2 linked regions of the Danio rerio genome follow. The protein of the gene in region 1 interacts with the protein of each later gene in a pairwise test. Links are inferred from orthologs where the notes say so. Each region holds a gene or a part of one and is shown on either strand. Other genes may lie near its edges. The genes, in order: epn2 and wbp2.

Region 1 (3,833 bases):
GCAGATGTTTCATTAGGCCGTGGCTGTATTCATGTGTATGCGGGCTTGGGGAGAGCGGCAGTGGGGGTTGCTCGTAAGGCAGCGCTCTATTGGCTCCTCCACAGGAGAGCAGGAGTCACATTTCAGTAGCTTTTAATGAATTTATGGGATGGGTTGAGATGTTTTGTTGGCGAATGAAGTATCCCGGAGTGCTCATGACAGGAATCTACTATTTAGTATGATTTTTAGACTAATCTGCTGGCGCAAATGAAGCGATAAAGTGTTTGGGTTCTGATTTTTACATGTGCTACTGTAATCTAGAGCACAGTATGGCGCAATTACGTTTGGGAAATAAGATGTCTTCCCACATGAGTGTTGTGTTACCGTAAAGATGAGTAATAGGAAGCACTTTTCACAATACTCCGCCTTTCAGTGTGTATGCAGTTATCTTTTACTCCACACGTTTCGGGGTGGTAAACTGCTTAGGCTTAGTTTAAAGAGTGAACAGCTGTAATCCATTTCTCTTTATCTGTGGTATTAAGAGGAGGAGCTGCAAGTGCAGTTTGGAAGTGGACCATTAAACTTCTGTTCTGTATGATCGAGTGATAACTTTCTTTTTGTTGCATATGAATGGAAAGGAAACCATCAGGATAATTGTGTTTACTGATTCATGTGCTCTAGATTTTATTGTGTGGCCTAATTGTTTTTGGCAACTATTACTAGCTGCTCATTTGAATCTTTTCTGTTTCTGTCTGACATTTTGGTTTTGTGTTTCAGGTAATGGAGGAATTCATCGAGCTGGCTTCCTTCACTCTGTGGAAATGGTTTTAACAGACACCGAGTAACACAGAGAAACCGTTTCAAACGGAGAACGTGTGCTCGAGCTATTTCACAACAGGCCTTTTTTTGTTTTTAAGCAAAACTGAGTTTATTATTTTTGATTCTCAAGGATTTTAACACTACTCGCCACCATGCCAAGCTCAACAATTCGGAGACAAATGAAAAATGTTGTAAATAACTATTCAGAGCCAGAGAAGAAGGTCAGGGAAGCAACTTCCAATGACCCATGGGGGCCCTCCAGTTCTCTGATGTCAGAGATCGCTGACCTCACTTACAATGTGGTGGCCTTTTCGGAGATAATGAGCATGATTTGGAAAAGGTTGAATGACCACGGAAAGAACTGGCGACATGTGTACAAGGCCCTGACGTTGCTGGACTACCTGATCAAAACGGGCTCAGAGCGAGTGGCCCTGCAGTGCAAAGAGAACATCTTTGCCATACAGACTCTCAAAGATTTCCAGTATATCGATCGGGATGGAAAAGACCAGGGCATCAACGTCAGAGAAAAGTCCAAGCAGCTTGTTGTGCTGCTGAAAGATGACGACCGTCTGAAAGGGGAGCGATCTCAGGCCCTGAAGACTAAGGAGCGCATGGCACAGGTCGCCACCAGTGTAGGCAGCAACAATCAGATCGGCTTTGGCCGTGGCTCCAGCCAACCCAACCTCTCCACCAGTTACTCGGAGGAGTACGGCAAGTCTGAGGGGTCACCTGCATCATATCATGGATGTAAGTAGATGTTTCTTTAGCTTGTCAACTTGCCAAACGGAATTGTTTTCATGTTGCCATATTGCAGTCTAAACTGCTATAGCAGGGATGGGCAAACTCGATCCTGGAGGGCCGGTGCCTTGCATAGTTTTGCACGAACACTAATCAAACACACCTGCCTATAGCTTTCTAGTGATCTTATCACGGTATGTGATAAGTACCTGGATGACTTGCTACTTCCGGCGAGATTCTGAAGTGTGCATTGGATGCACGCTACACTATCCTATCATGTACTGCTAGAAAATTTATGATTGAATGTGAAGCGACGCAACTGACGTGGGTAGGTCACGTGACCATGACGAAATGGCGGATGTAGTACATCCAAGTTTCCGTTTATTCTGCTTACATTCATACTGTATAGAATAGTGGTCACCAAACTTGTTCCTGGAGGGCCGGTGTCCTGCAGATTTTAGCTCTAACCCTAATCAAACACACGTGAACAAGCTAATCAAGGTCTTTGTAGGTATACTTGAAACATCCAGGCAGGTGTGTTGAGGCAAGTTGGAGCTAAACCCTGCAGGGACACCGGCCCTCCAGGGCCGAGATTGGTGACCCCTGGTATAGAAAGTACTTTTCTAATGTCAGAGTAGTATGTTTAAATTCAAATGCAGTACCTACTGAGTAGTAGGTGATTTTAAATGCAACCACAGATTAGTGTGTTCAGGTTTGTTTGATAAGTGTTGGATCAAAACACTGCAGGACACTGGCCCTTGAAGATTGAGTTTGCCCATCCCTGTGCTAAAGCATAGCACATAGCCTTCTGCAGTCACTCGCAAAGAACAGTTTTGCAGAGATACCATCAAATTTATTTCAAGTCAGTTTGATTAAGTTGATGGTTATAATATAGTTTATTTTTATGGGAGGAAAATTTTGAAAAACTTGTATAAAGAACTTTATAATGCTATAGAGAACTTTCTGTGGCATGGAAGGTTTTGTGAATGTAATGGTTGTTCGTGGATTTAAAATCATTTTTTAAATATTTTTAAATCAGTAAACTAGGCATGAGACCATAACCGGGAAAAGTCAAGGTTTTAAAACTGCAACATTTTCTGCTATACCATTCCTAAGGTATATTTAAGGTTTTTTTATTACGTGTTTTTTATTAGGACTACAGTATGTCCAGCAGAAAAGATCTCCAAACACACCTTTACCGGTTGAAATAGATCTGTGTTTTTAAAGCTAATGAAGACAGCAGAAGTCAAGGATTCATTTGAATCATTTACTCTGACTTGTTTACTGCACCAAAATATTTTAAAAGTTTCTCTAAATAAAATTAATTTTGTTTAAAGAGGAAGAAGTTTTAGTTTTTCACCCAGACATTAAAAAAGTTTATATTTTAGAGCAGAAATCACAATACCGTGAAACCATGATATTTTTATCCAAGGTTATCATACTGTCAGAATCTTATATTTGCTGTTTTTTTAAGACATTGTAAACAGAATGCCAGAGTCCCACCAAGACCTGGGGTGTGTTTGGTTCTGTTAAACCTAATTTCTCAAAGGAATTGCTCTGTTAACACGGTTTGTATGAATGAATGTGAATGCTGCAATCCAATCTACAGTTTAGCAGTCTCATCCCACTTCCAAACAGGTTCAACAGAGATCAACATTTGCCATTGAATTAACCAAAATCAGGGTGATGCCATTAACCAAAATGCATAAGCCTACCAGTTTTATTCTGTGTATGTAGGTTTTTAAATCTGCTGTGACTGTGATACTAAAGGTTTTATCTTTGGTTCCTTAAATGCCACAGGCTGCATTATTCTTTAAGACCAAATTATGCCCCTCACCAACAGTAAAAGGTTGGTAGCTTGCCGTTCTTTGCCCTTTATGTTTGAAATGTTGCTGTTAACGGCAACGACAAAAACTTTGTTCAAGCGATCGTAAAAGTCAACTTTGTTGAATTAATTTTGATAAACTCTACACACCTGGAGCTCTGACTGCATGGGGCAAATTCTTTACCCTGCAGACCAGGAAACGGCTGGTGTGCTGTTACCCTGCAGGAGACACATCCTCAGTTGTGCCTCCCTGCAGCAGTGAGTGGCTGTGCTGGACAGCTGTGTGTGCTGTCCACATCCAACCCCTTTCTCTGAGCTCAATACAGGAAGACAGAATTCCTCAACTCCCAGAGGCCTTTTACTCTGCCCTGTGCTTAAAGGAGGAAGCTGCATATATTTCTCTCTTCACTTACTACCCCCTGCCTCTTTTAATACAGCTTAAAAAGAATTTGATAGTATTCGTGAAGAAAGT
Region 2 (4,465 bases), on another chromosome or scaffold:
TATACTTTTTACCACATATTTTGGCAACAATGTTTTTTAGTTTAGGCCACAATTCACAGTATTAACAAACAATTAATCTAACACTACTAGCTTAATAAAATAATTAGCTGTTTTGTTAATAGTTAGTAAGGTACAATTTGGGTTTATGTTAGGTTAGGGATGCCCCCCTAACCTTAATAAAATATTACGTTTACATTTTATCTTCATAATAAACACAATATGAAAAATTTACCAAAACCACATTAGATTAGATAAGCAGTTAATTCATTCATTCATTCATGTTGTAATGTTAGTAAAATCAAAGTCGTTTCTATTATTAAGTCATCTTTTCATTAATGTAGATTTATTTCAATCATGGATATAAATGTTTGTTTTAAAGAATTTATTTCTATATTTATTTATTAATTTATTGCTTTAAACCAAATGCTTTAAACCAATTTATAATATTTCAAACGAACATGTTATTAACACAACATTTACTTTTTATCTTCATAATAAACACAATATAGGAACATTTAAATCCCATTAGATTAAATAAGTAGTTCATTCATTTATTCATATTGGAAAAAAATAAATATAAATATTATAATATAGGGAAATTTAACTAAATCCTATCAGATTAGAAGTTCATTGATTATTTGATTCAATCATATTCTAAAAGCAAGTAAAATCAGTCATTTCTATAGTTATTAAGTCACCTTTTCATTATTGCAGATTTATTTTAATCATGAATATAAATGTTTGTTTTAATGAATTAATTTCTATATTTATTTATTAATTTATTCGTTCATTAATTCACCGTCAAAGTAAATTTAAACTGTTACAAATGCTTTAAACCAATTTATAATATTTTAAACGAACATGTTATTACACATCGTTTACATTTTATCTTTGTAATAAACACACTATAGGAAAATTTAGCTAAATCCTGTTAGATTAGATAAGCAACTCATTCATTCGTTCGTTCATGTTGTAATGCTAGTAAAATCAAAACCATTTCTATAGTTATTAAGTCATATTTTCATTAATTTTGATTTATATTATTTCTGAATGTTTATATTTATTATTTTTTAATTAATTCAATTGTTCATTAATTCACTGTCAAGGTCAATTTAAACTGTTACTAATGCTTAAAAACTATTTTATTTAGAATATTATTTTAAATGGACATGTTATTTACTTGTTGTTTACAGATTTTTCCGTTTACATTTTATATTCATAATGAAACCAATATAGGGAAATTGATCTAAATCCCATTAGAATGGATAAGCAGCAATCTGTTTATTATGGGTTATTTGAGAAGGTTCGGGAAATGTCTAAACCGGTCTAAACCCTGCTAGATGACGTCACTCGGAGGGGCGTGACATATGGCGGAAGTGCAGGTGGCTCATTGAGTTGCGCTCGGAGAATGTAGAGGGTCAGTTTGACAGCATAACAGACAGAAATCAAACATGGCTCTCAATAAAAATCACGATGAATCTGGACGTGTCATCATCAACAACTTCGAGGGGTAATGTAGCGGAATCGCACTCACTATTATCTACATCGCGTTATTGCGCTGCATTTTAAAACAGATAGGCTTTTTATGATTTCACAGATTTGTAAAGCAACGACCACATTCAGTTAATCTCTGTATTTACTGTTTATCATGGTATGAACAGTGATAGTCATGTGTTTTGGATCACGTCGGGTGAACCGTTAGATCACACCCATTTATTAGTTTGCTGTGTAGCCTGACTGTCTGACGTTTATGTGTTTATTTTATGCATTATTAAGTTTGTATACTATAAATGCAACCGATAACCAGTTAGATGAGTTGATATTGTTTAAAACAGATCCTGCGCAGCTTTCGAGAACGTTACTATGGCGAAGCCTGAGCTCATGAATATTAATTCAGTCACGCTCGAGTTGCTTGGAAACCTTCCTGCAGCGTTCAGTCACGTAAATTATCTATCTATCTATCTATCTATCTATCTATCTATCTATCTATCTATCTATCTATCTATCTATCTATCTATCTATATCTATCTATCTATCTATCTATCTATCTATCTATCTATCTATCTATCTATCTATCTATCTAATCTCCGTCTGTCTGTCTGTCTGTCTGTCTGTCTATCTATCTATCTGTCTGTCTGTCTGTCTGTCTGTCTGTCTGTCTGTCTATTTATCTATCTCTGTATCTATCTGTCTATATCTCTATCCGTCTGTCTGTCTATCTATCTATCTATCTATCTATCTATCTATCTATCTATCTATCTATCTATCTATCTATCTATCTATCTATCTATCTATCTATCTATCTATCTATCCATCTATCTATCTATCTATCTATGTGTGTATCTATCTGTCTATTTTCTATCTATCTATCTATCTATCTATCTATCTATCTATCTATCTATCTATCTATCTATCTATCTATCTATCTATCTATCTATGTGTGTATCTATCTGTCTATTTTCTATCTATCTATCTATCTATCTATCTATCTATCTATCTATCTATCTATCTATCTATCTATCTATCTGTCTATCTGTCTATCTGTCTATATCTCTATCCATCTATCTATCTATCTATCCATCCATCCATCCATCCATCCATCCATGACACACATCTGTCCCTATGCAACCCTGCTCTGACATGTTGCTAATTAGATTGGCCTATCGACAACAGCCACGTTACGTAATTAATATTAATGAGCTCAGCCCTCGCTTTAGTGGGATTCGCATTTGTGCTGTTCAGCCACAGTAGGTCAAGCAATAATCTTCTTAACATTCTTCTTAAAGAAATGACATGTTCTTAAGGAGAATACACTGTTTCACAAGAGCTTGTGTCATATTACACAACTGATTAAGAGATTGTTGACACCGGGAATGACATTATGTCTCTTAATAACACTATATACCCATACATATGAATATGCTTAACATTAATTGTAACAACAAGTAGTAACAGAATTGAATGTTTCCTATAAAAACAAATTGAAGCATTTTACATTATTTTATTTTATAATGATGGATTCAATTATGGATAAATGACACATTTGTTGCATATTATTCCAGTTTAGGAAAAATTCCTTAGTTTACCCGCAATACTTAACTGAGTTGTCTTTCTAACTTTAATACTAACTCAGCCATGTGATAAAAATCATAGCATTTCTGTACAAATGGTTAAGGTTTCATGTTGTTATTTGTTTGTTTGTTTGTTTATTTATTTATCATAATGTGAGTTGATTTAAGTATCTATACAGTGTATATTATTTTATCCAACATGTTTCTAAATCATTTTGTAATGCAAAGTGTTAGAATCATCATTCTAAGCTCTTTGCTCTAACATACAAATGTGTATGTGAATTTAAAAGACAACAAAGAGGACTGTGAAGCAAAAGCTAAACTCTTATCTCTCTCAAGACTACTGCCGACTGCCAGGGACCTGTAACAGTACAGTACAGTTGAAGTCAGAATTATTAGCCCCCCTGTTTATCTGTTTATCTGCCCCCCCCCCCATTTCTGTTTAACGGAGAGAAGATTTTTCTCAACACATTTCTAAATATAATAGTTTTAATAACTCATCTCTAATAACTGATTTATTTTATCTCTGCCATGATGACAGTAAATAGTATTTGACTAGATATTCTAGACACTTCTATACAGCTTAAAGTGATATTTAAAGGCTTAACTAGGTTAATTAGGTGAACTAGGCAGGTTAGGGTAATTAGGCAAGTTATTGTATAATGATGGTTTGTTCTGTAGATTATCGAAATAGAAATTAGCTTAAAGGGGCTAATAATTTTGTCCCTAAAATGATAAAAAAAATTAAAAACTGCTTTTATTCTAGCCGAAATAAAACAAATAAGACTTTCTCCAGAAGAAAAAATATTATCAGACATACTGTGAAAATTTCCTTGCTCTGTTAAACATAATTTGGGAAATATTGGAAAAAGAAAAAGAAATTCAAAGGGGGGCTAATAATTCTGACTTCAACTATATATATAAATTTATATGCATAATAATTCACAATAAATAATAACAATTTTGTATTATTTTAATTTCCATTACAGTTTATAATTAACATTTTAATTACCCTTATTTTACATAGCTTTCAATTATTAATTGATATTCATTTTATTATTAATTACATTATATATTACATTAAAATGATAATAATTTATTTAAATTTATTTATTTGTTTTATTTGGCAGGGTCAGTGTACATTAATTAGCATTGCTGCAAATGTTCCAGATTTAGCCAGAAGGTTTTTTTTCATCCATTGTCCCTGGACAGATGTTAAAGTTGTCACCCTAAAAATCAATCATAACCAAGAAACACTAAAATAGACATAGTTAGGTAGATCTTTAAAAAAATTATATTGAACAAAATAACCTAAAACACTAACATTATGTAATGGAGATAAGAGTACACTCAAAAAAAAAATAAATACATTTTTTGTTTACTCGTTCAAAATA

What was found.
Region 2: the proteins of epn2 (region 1) and wbp2 interact in binary tests that used the Homo sapiens proteins (3 or more experiments, as listed by UniProt). The link is inferred for Danio rerio from reciprocal best matches to the Homo sapiens genes EPN2 and WBP2.

The regions. Positions count from the first base shown.
Region 1 is NC_133178.1:38,608,609-38,612,441, forward strand, and holds part of epn2 (epsin-2), read left to right. Parts: intron 1-756; 5' UTR 757-950; coding exon 951-1,545; intron 1,546-3,833. UniProt on the Homo sapiens protein: Plays a role in the formation of clathrin-coated invaginations and endocytosis.
Region 2 is NC_133187.1:47,454,752-47,459,216, forward strand, and holds the start of wbp2 (WW domain-binding protein 2), read left to right. Parts: upstream 1-1,378; 5' UTR 1,379-1,451; coding exon 1,452-1,510; intron 1,511-4,465. UniProt on the Homo sapiens protein: Acts as a transcriptional coactivator of estrogen and progesterone receptors (ESR1 and PGR) upon hormone activation. In presence of estrogen, binds to ESR1-responsive promoters. Synergizes with YAP1 to enhance PGR activity.